Ovis aries: one gene and its partner. The protein of the gene in region 2 interacts with the protein of the main gene of each other region in a biochemical or structural test. Links are inferred from orthologs where the notes say so. Each region holds a gene or a part of one and is shown on either strand. Other genes may lie near its edges.

The links. The genes of interacting proteins can lie anywhere in the genome.
Region 1: of the proteins of CASP7 (region 2) and PANX1, one has a biochemical effect on the other in vitro, tested with the Homo sapiens proteins (2 studies listed by IntAct). The link is inferred for Ovis aries from reciprocal best matches to the Homo sapiens genes CASP7 and PANX1.

Annotation. Positions count from the first base shown.
Region 1 is NC_056074.1:200,254-205,350, forward strand, and holds part of PANX1 (pannexin-1), read right to left. Parts: intron 772-5,097; coding exon 548-771; intron 1-547. UniProt on the Homo sapiens protein: Ion channel involved in a variety of physiological functions such as blood pressure regulation, apoptotic cell clearance and oogenesis.
Region 2 is NC_056075.1:33,721,452-33,725,655, reverse strand, and holds part of CASP7 (caspase-7), read right to left. Parts: intron 4,126-4,204; coding exon 3,950-4,125; intron 3,919-3,949; exon of another isoform or gene 3,846-3,918; intron 3,398-3,845; coding exon 3,268-3,397; intron 655-3,267; coding exon 431-654; 3' UTR 1-430. UniProt on the Homo sapiens protein: Thiol protease involved in different programmed cell death processes, such as apoptosis, pyroptosis or granzyme-mediated programmed cell death, by proteolytically cleaving target proteins.

The DNA of each region.
Region 1 (5,097 bases), on a different chromosome or scaffold from region 2:
TACTGGAGTGGGGTGCCATTTCCTACTCCAGGGGATCTTTCCAACCCAGGGATTGAACCCACGTCTCTTGGATCTCCTGTATTGACAGGCAGATATTTTACCACTAACTAGCCACCTGGGAAGCCCAAAATGAGACCTACTAATGCTATTACTGCTATTGTCAATCACAAAAACCAAAGGAAGGATGTCCAAAAGAGCAAGGTGCTGTCTACTTGTTCCTTAGTTCCCTCATGTCCAATCTCGGTGCCCAGGAGCCTCATAATCCTGTGTTTCTCCATGAAGGGGAAGGTCAAAGCAACTCGCCCTGCAACTGAGAACATGAGCGAGTGATGCTTCACTCCACAAGGGAAGGACTTGAGGTGAGGACCGCGGCTGGGGCAGACAGGCAGGGTGAGATCTGGGGAGGGCGGGCCTTCCTGGCTCCCCCCGGGTGTCACGAGGCAGATGGCAGTCCCCCACGTACTAGTAGTGAGAACCTGAAGCCCAGATGGACAGAAGGGCAGCAAACTCGTACTCCCAAATCCCGATGGGTTGGGGGCTGAGTTACCTTTGCCCCATGTTCTCATTAACTTCTGGCACTGGGCAGGCACCGTCTCTCAAGTCAAGGTCATGCATGCTCTTTGCAGCTTTAATTGCGCGGTTGTAAACTTTGTCGAGTTCTTCCATGATAAACTTCAAATCTGAGCAAACATGAGGAGCAGCTGCGAAACGCCAGAACAAGGAGGGCAGGTACAGCAGGATGGCCACCAGCAGCAGGATGTAGGGGAAAAACTGAAAAACAGGGGAGCAGATCATGCAATCACCAGACCCCCCAGCCCCCACTGAAGTAACCATGCCAAGCACTGTTAGTGGTTTTCTCATTTTCACACTAAAGGCATCTCCACATCGCTTGTGAAAATCAGGCTCCTTACCCAGTAGCTACATCTTATGGCTAAATTCACCTGTCCAGGTAATACTTGACACTCTCCAACTTTGCTAGACTCAATTTGAAATAATTGGCAAGTACATCATGGCACATGATGTCTCCACTCTAATCAAAGAAAGAAACAAAAAATAAAATTGTTCCCTGGTCCTTTAAAATAATCCCTCAGCAAAATCACAATTAAGGAAGATGTTAATGTTACAGTGGCCTCCAGGTTCTTTTTTTCTTTTTTTAATCGCTATGGTTTTAGGAGGTCACTAAGGCTTTTGGAACTCTTTTTCTCCCTCTCTGGAATCTGGGAGAATGACACAGAAATGCACAACTTTGCTCAAAACAAATCAGAAAAATGTTGGTTTCAGTGACCCAGTAAACACCCCATGAAACAGCAGAAATAAGCAGGTAAAATCCACAAAGTGCAGAACGTATCTTCTGTAGAGGGACAGACCGTGAGGACCACACAACATTCTCATTTTACAGCCAGGTAATCTCAAGTCGGGAGAAGCCAACCATAATGAACCACAGTCATGGGGGAGCATCCCAATCTGGATGGTACGCAAAATCAACAAGAGAGGATTCAGAAGTCAGAGACGGCGAAGAGCATCCCATAACCAAGACCCCTCGGGAAGGGGGGAAAGGCTTAGCCTCAAAGACAGAGGAAGCTGCAGCCAGCACAGATGTGAAGTCAAGCTCAGGTAGTGGCCTGAACAGCAAGGTTGCTGAGCCTCTGACCTCAGTTTCCCTATCTATGAAATAGTCATGCAATACATGTGTTATGAAGATTAAATTAGATACCTTATGAAAAATGCTTTGCATGGTGCCTGGCATGTCACAGACACTAAAACACACCAACCAGAACCAACGAAAGGGCTACTAAGTGGCCACGCTAATGTCAATCCTCACAATGACCTTGGCAAAGCCATTACTGATGGCCTCATTTTTCAAAGAGGAAGAGGATGTCCAGAGCAATTTCTGGCCATGGAGCACAAAGCTGGTGACAGAGACAGAATACAAAGCTGGACCTTTCTGATCCCAGAACAATGCCTCTTTCACCATAATACACTGCAAATTATTTTACTTCTTGGAAAACTTCTCCCTCCCTTTGGACTGGTCTCTCTACATAACTCCTCAGAGCTGTAACAGAAAGAGGCTATGAAGGCCTTGAGTTGACACAAAAGCCCCACCCCAACATCTCTGGAAGGCGGCAGGAGACCAAGTGAGAGTGTGACTTACAACAGAAGTGTGTGTGTGCGTGTGTGTGTATGTGTGTGTGATCTCTGGAAGGCAGCAGCAGACCAAGTGAGAGTGTGACTCACTACAGAAGTGTGTGTGTGTGTGTGTGTGTGTGTGTGTGCGTGTGTGTGTGCGTGTGCTCAGTCGCATCCAGCTCTTTCTGGTCCTATGGACTGCAGCCTGCTAGGCACTTCTGTCCATGGAATTTTCTAGACAAGAATACTGGAGTGGGTTGGCATGCCCTCCTCCAGGGGATCTTCCCCACCCAGGGATCAAACATGCATCTCTTACATCTCCTACATCAGCAAGTGGGTTCTTTACCACTAGCACCACTGGGGAAGCCTGGGAAGCCACTATAGATTATTAACAGATGTACAGAAAAGTTGCAAAGATGGTCCAGAGTGTTCTTGAATGACCTTCATTCAGTATGCCCCACTGCTGACACTGGACATCTCCATGGTACCCTTGTTAAGAGGAAGAAACCGTTGTTGCTATATTACCATTAATTACACTTCAGGCTTTGATTTGGATTTCTCCAGTGTTCCCACTATTGCCTTCTTTTTGTTCCAAGATCTAGGGTATCCATTGTATTTTGCTGTCATGTCTCCCTAGAAACCTTGGTTCTGTGACAGTTGCTTAGTTTGCCTTGTTTTTCATGAAGAATAGCATTTTTAAACGCTTAAAATAACACAAATTCACAAAGGAAATGGATGACACTGATACACAGCTATCACATTAAAAGACAGATTTGTATATGGTTCTTATTTGATGGGATCTAGCACATTTGATGGGATCTAACAGATGGCCCAACAACACAGTAACTTGGAAGTGATGAAGAGTAAAAAGTATTCAAGGCAGCTGAGACTTCTATGGGTGACAGTGACAGGTGGTACCGATACCACTATGGATTCCTGACTACTTACTGACATGGTTTATAAAGTTTTAGTTGGAAGTAGACAGAAAATAAAGCTGCCCTATGTTTTCTTATCCCAGTTCATAATCTTCCTGACGCTATCATGGAGCCCACATTAGGAAGCCCTGCCCCACGGGCAAGACAAATAGCAGAAATGGCTCAGAAACTCCACAAAGTCCCACCAAAGCAGCTGCTTCCCTCGGGGGTTCTGGCATGGGATGACGTCCTCAAAATTACTAACCCAATTTACAAAGAGCTGCTACACAATGATACACACAAGAGGCTGTGAGTAGCTGCATTTTGGCCACATGATTTATTGTTGGCTACAGTGAGATGCAGTGTTCCTTTAATCCTAGTCACCCTTAAGGGTGCCCATTCATGTAAAAATGAGTTTGTGTTCCTTCCATAACCAGAAGAAACAGGGATTTCCTTTGAGAACCATGGAGGGAACACTGTTTCTAACTTGGGGCTATGGAATATGTATTTAAGTCACTTTTGTTTCAAAGCTATTTGAATAATAGCATTTTACCTCCAAGCATTCTTTTGAATTGAAAAGTAACTATTTACAGCCTATGACAATTTTTCTAACATGCCAAAACCATGCAATAATTAGCACCAATGAATAGTTCAACACCACTCACTGCAATTAGAAAAATGAATGTTTAAAGGTATTACATATCAAATGTTTGTTTTCTTCTAAATATCCTTGTACTTTGATCACCTGTAGTAGAATGTAGAGGAATGTCCCATTTCTTAGTTTTTCTTCATAGTTAAACCTTTCTTTTTCTTTTCCATCAGAAAGAAAAAAGTGATTTTCAATGAAACTGCAGCAAGATGGTTTTAAAATTAATTCCACTAAAATAGGAATTTTTTTTAAAAGGCCATGAAATTATATTCTTTAAAATCCTTTTGTCCAAATAAGGAGAATGGAAAAACTACCAGGCTTTCAAGTGCATCTGCTAGAGAGGAACGGCTTTGTTCCCAAGTTCTATCTACTCCCAGTTAGTTCTGAGGTCTCAGCATCTTTCAAAGTCGTGATTGCATGATTCAGAGTTTTTGCAGATGTAACTAGTGAAGATGAGGTCATACTAACTTAGCACAGCGTGCTCAGTTGTGTCTGACTCTTTGTGACCAAATGGACTGCAGCCCACCAGGCTCCTCTGTCCATGGAATTTACCAGGCAAGAATACTGGAGTGGGTTGCCATTTCCTCCTTCATGAGATCCTTCCATCCCAGGAATCAAACCCACATCCCCTGCATTTCTCCCACTGACAAGTGGATTCTTTACCACTGAGCCACTTGGGAAGCCTGTCACATTAACTTGTTATTGCTGTTGTTCTGTCGCTCAGTCATGCCTGACTCTTTGTGACCCCACAGGCTGCATTATGCCAGGCTTTCCTGTCCTTCACCATCTCCCAGAGCTTGCTCAAACTTATGTCCATTGAGTCTGCGATGCCATCCAACCATCTCATTCTCTTGTCCCCTTTTCCTCCTGCCTTCATTCTTTCCCAGCATCAGGGTCTTTTCCAATGAGTTGACTCTTCAGATCAGGTAGCCAGAGTACTGGAGCTTCAGCTTCAGCATCAGTCCTTCCAATGAATATTCAGGACTGATTTCCTTTAGGATTGACTGGTTTGATTTTACAGTCCAAAGGACTCTCAAGAGTCTTCTCTAATGCCACTGTTCTAAAGTATCAATTTTTTGGCATCCAGCCTTTTTCATGGTCCAACTCTCAAATCCACACATGACTACTGGAAAAACCATGGCTTTAAGTAGACGGACCTTTGTAAGCAAAGTAATGTTTCTGCTTGTTAATATGTTGTCTAGGTTTATCATAGCTTTTCTTCCAAGGAGCAAGCTAACTAACTTAAGGTGGGCTCTAATCCAGTGACTGGTATTCCTCTAAGCAGGCCATAAGAAGACACAGAGACACACAGAGGAGAAGCTATGTGAGGACGGAGGCAGAAACCAGAGTGATGCACCTACAAGGCAAGGACCAGCAAGACCGCCAGCCGTGACCGGAAACCAGCAG
Region 2 (4,204 bases):
CTTTCTGCAATACAGGAGAATGAATATCCCTTTGGCTGTTTTTTGTCAAGGACTCTCTTTGCCAGGTACAAATATGACTCTGACAGTCTACCAAAGTCACCACCAGTCATGGTGGACACAGTCAAAAGTCATCTGCAGAGGTCATTTTTGTTGTATGTACTAAGTGCAACAACAAGGAGAAAGACAAACAAAATGAATCTTAAGAGAAAAAGTCATCAAATGGATAACAATGTAAAAAAAAGTCTCTGAAAAGTCAGAGACCATAAGACAGCACCAGAGAGTTTCTTTCCCGTTGAATCAATAATTTTCCTGAAATTAAAATCTTTTAGAATTTCTGGATCTTTTAAGAGCATTACGAAAAAGATTTCTGATTCATCAACAAATGATCCGTAGCTTCTCAGCTGGAATGCACCCCTGGAATGAATTATCTTCAGAAGTAGAGTTCCTTGGTGAGCATGGAGACCACACATGGAATCTGCTTCTTCTCGTGGAAGCGTGGGTCATCAGACTGGGATTCAAAGTGCCTGGCCACCCTGTCATTCACCCGGGTGAGGATCTGCAAGATCTCCAGGCTCTTCCCATGCTCATTCAGGATGGAGCAGAGGGCCTGCACAAACCAGGAGCCACTCCCTGGGTTCCTCCATGAATAATAGCCTTCAATGGGAGAAGAGAAAGGAGATGAAGTCAGCTGACCTGGCTGCTGCTTTGCTCACTACCCAGCAGGAGCTGTCTGTGACTGGGGCCTTCACATGCGCTCTTCTGAGATGACAGCAGTCCCCACTTCCCCATACTGGATATGTGTCCTCCAAACTCTGTACTACAGGGAATCATTCTAAAACACAAATCTCATGTTGTCCCCGAGAAATGGAATATTTCCTGCTCAGTAAACGAGGATGTCACAGTCATCAGTGACTGCAGCTCTCCAATGTGAGCTGGTGAGCACAAAGGGCACTCAGGAAGGAGAAGAATACCTGTGAGCTAGCAGCCATCAGACTGCGGCCACTCCCGATGGTGAGCCCCAAGGGAGCTCGGGTTGTGAAAAACACAGGATACTGGCCCCAGTAGTTGATGCATATGAAAGCAGTGATTTCAGGCAGTTCAGACTTTTGCATCTTCCCATACATAGAGAGGCATTACATTAATTTGGGTTATCTGGTTTTCTTTCATTAACAATAGCCTTTTGATGTTCAAACTACCCACCCTTTCGTTGCAAAACTTCTATATAACCTGGCTCCTTCCCTTGTCTCCTTGGAGTTCTCCCAAGATTACTTGAGATGCTATCTCCCAGGCTTAAGTCCTAAAAATTTCCATGTAATAAAACATAACTCTCAAGTTTTAGGTTGTGAATATTTTTTAAGTTGACATCCCTCTCTCACCTAAAATGGTTCCTTCTATATGAGGGTGAAATTTAGGCTGCTTAGCACATCCCACAGGGCCCACCACAACTGGGTCCCCATTTCCCTGTCTAGGTTTGAACCTTGTTCATGCCCAGTCCTGCAGTCCATGGGGTCGTGAACAGTTGGACACAACTTGGCTAATGAACAACAACATGCCCAGTCATACCCTGGGCTACGGCCTCTCCCCTCCCTGGGCCACGTCAGTGAAGAGGCAGTGGTCTACAAGCTAGGGTAGCAGCTCTCTTCAGAAGCTACAATGCCTGGCACCTTGATCTCAACCTCCAGAACTGTGAAAAATGAACTTCTGCTCCCTAGCCTGTGGACTTACGTTAGAGCTGCCTGTAAAGACTAACACACCCTGTGGTCCAGCTCTTGAGTTTTACCAATGCACTGAGCCACCTGCCCCTGGCACTCTGTCTGATAAGCCATTTCAACCTTCCTCCTGTTATTTGATTTTTAAAGACTTGGTTATAGAAGTTCTTTCTTTGAAGCCTCTCTCTCCCTAGAACTCACCCTTAGAGTTCACCCTTTTTCCTTCAGTTCTGCCAGACCTGGCTTAGGGCCCCTCCAACTCGACTGACAGGTTGGATTACATAACTATAAGCTCCTATGACTCTGCCTTCCTCTCAAAGGCAGGAACCAAATTTCTTTTTTACAGGATTCTTAAAACTGGGAAGTTTTCATTCTCACAAAATCCCATCTGTACATCTTGCCAGAGCTGGTTTTCCAAACACAACAGCCAACTTACTGTAACCAATACTTCTATACCAAGCACTTGACAACCTACTATCATAGCTGGGAGAAGTCAGTGATGGTTTTTACCCCAAACAATGGAGTTCACTGAACTTGCTCAGGCAAACCCAAACAAGAGGGAAGCTTGCTTGCTGCTGGCATTTCTGGTGCTTGTTTACAGGCTTGTTTAAAGGAGTCCTGGTCTGAGCTATATAACTCTATTATGTATGAAAATCTCTGTATGACCTTGGGCAGGTCACTTAAACTTACTCAAGCTCAATTTTTTTTTCTATCTGTAAAATTAGGACAGAAGTAACAACTTTCCTAACTACTACACAATTATTTCAGGGTAGAAGACACGAAAAACACTCAGTAAATAGGTACCATAGACATGCTTGTTCTTATAATTATCAATAATAATCATAATCATAATCATAAATGAGAGAATTCAGCTTTCTTTTGGAGAGAAAAGTGACTATATCGCCATGGTAAGCAGAACAGTGGCCCTCAGAAATGCTCACGCCATAAAGCAGGGGTCCTCAGGCTCTAATGCCTGATGACCTGAGGTGGAGCTGATGTAAGAATAATAGAAATTAAGTGCACAATACATGTAATGCACTTGAGTCATCTGGAAACCACCCACCCCCACCCTGGTCCATGGAAAACCTATTTTCCATGAATCATGTCCCTGGTGCCAAAAGGGTGGGAACTGCTGCCCTAGAGCACTTCACAGATGGGGCTGAGGTCAAGGAAACAAGATGGAGAAATTATCCTGGGATTATCCAGACAGGACTAATCTAACCACAGGAGCCCTTACAAGAGGGTCAGAAAGAACAACGTAAGGATGGAAGGAGGGTCAGGTACGAGGCTGCCAGCTTTGAAGCTGGAGGAAGGGGGCCACAGGCCAAGTAATGCAGGCAGTTCTAAACTGCTGAAAGTAAGGCTGTGGATTTGCGCCCCCTACAGTCTCTAGAAGGAACTGCTGTCCATTCTGGAATTCTGACCTGCGGGACTGTGTGTGTTCAGCCACCATGTTTGCCGCAATTTATCACTGCAGCAATAGGAAACTAACACAGCTCCAAGTCTCCATTTCGAAGGTGGGATGCACAGTGTGGTTAGCAGCCAAGGGACTTGATACCTGGAACTGTGGAATAGGCAAAGAGAAAGTCGGCTTCAACAGGGATCTTATATCGGGGATTAGCATCAGTGTCATTGATAGGTCCTGAGTCAGCCTGGATCCCGTCATCGAGCTCTGTCCCCCGGCAAGCCTAAAATCAACACAGAGATGGCTGCATGAAGCTGAGAATAGGAACACGTGTGTTACTCACAGCTGTATTCCACTGCAGTCCCAGAACTGTGCTTGGCATGTACCAACAACACAACGATGTCCAAGATAATCTGAAGATGTGTTGAATTAGCAAGCAGAGCAAATAAAAAGACTATACTGTCTTAAACTCAGATAATTTGTGATCCAATGCAAATACAGATGCCAAGCATTAGAGGTAGAAAAATACAACCTAAATTTGCATACCCCAATGGAAACAGCATGTAGATTTGTAAAAAATGATACAAGCCAAGTCACTCTGTAATCTTTTTTCATTTCTATTGACTTCGTTTTTTAAAATTATTTTCATACTTAGAGAAAATTAATTTATTTGTCTGTGCTGGGTCTTAGTTGCAGCTTAGTTGCACTTAGTTATAACATGTGGGATCCAGTTCCCTGACCAGGGATTGAACCTGGGCCCCTGGCATTGGGAGTGCAGAGTCTTAGCCACTGGACTACCAGGGAAGTCTCTCTATAGACTCTGAAAAGGGATTACCTGAATGAAGAAGAGTTTGGGCTTCTCTAACAGGGTTTTGCATCGATCCCCCCTAAAATGGGCTGTCAAGTCCTTTATTGCTGTCTTGCCATCTGTTCCATAAATTAAATTTTCTTCTCCATGGCTTAATAAGATGCAGGCGAAGCAGGCTGAATTTCTGTGGTCTTCTTCAGAAGCTGCAAGCCATCGAAACATTGAAAAGTTAAAATATGATTCCTGAGTGTGGGACCTCAGAGGTACTATTCCCTTTCAGTC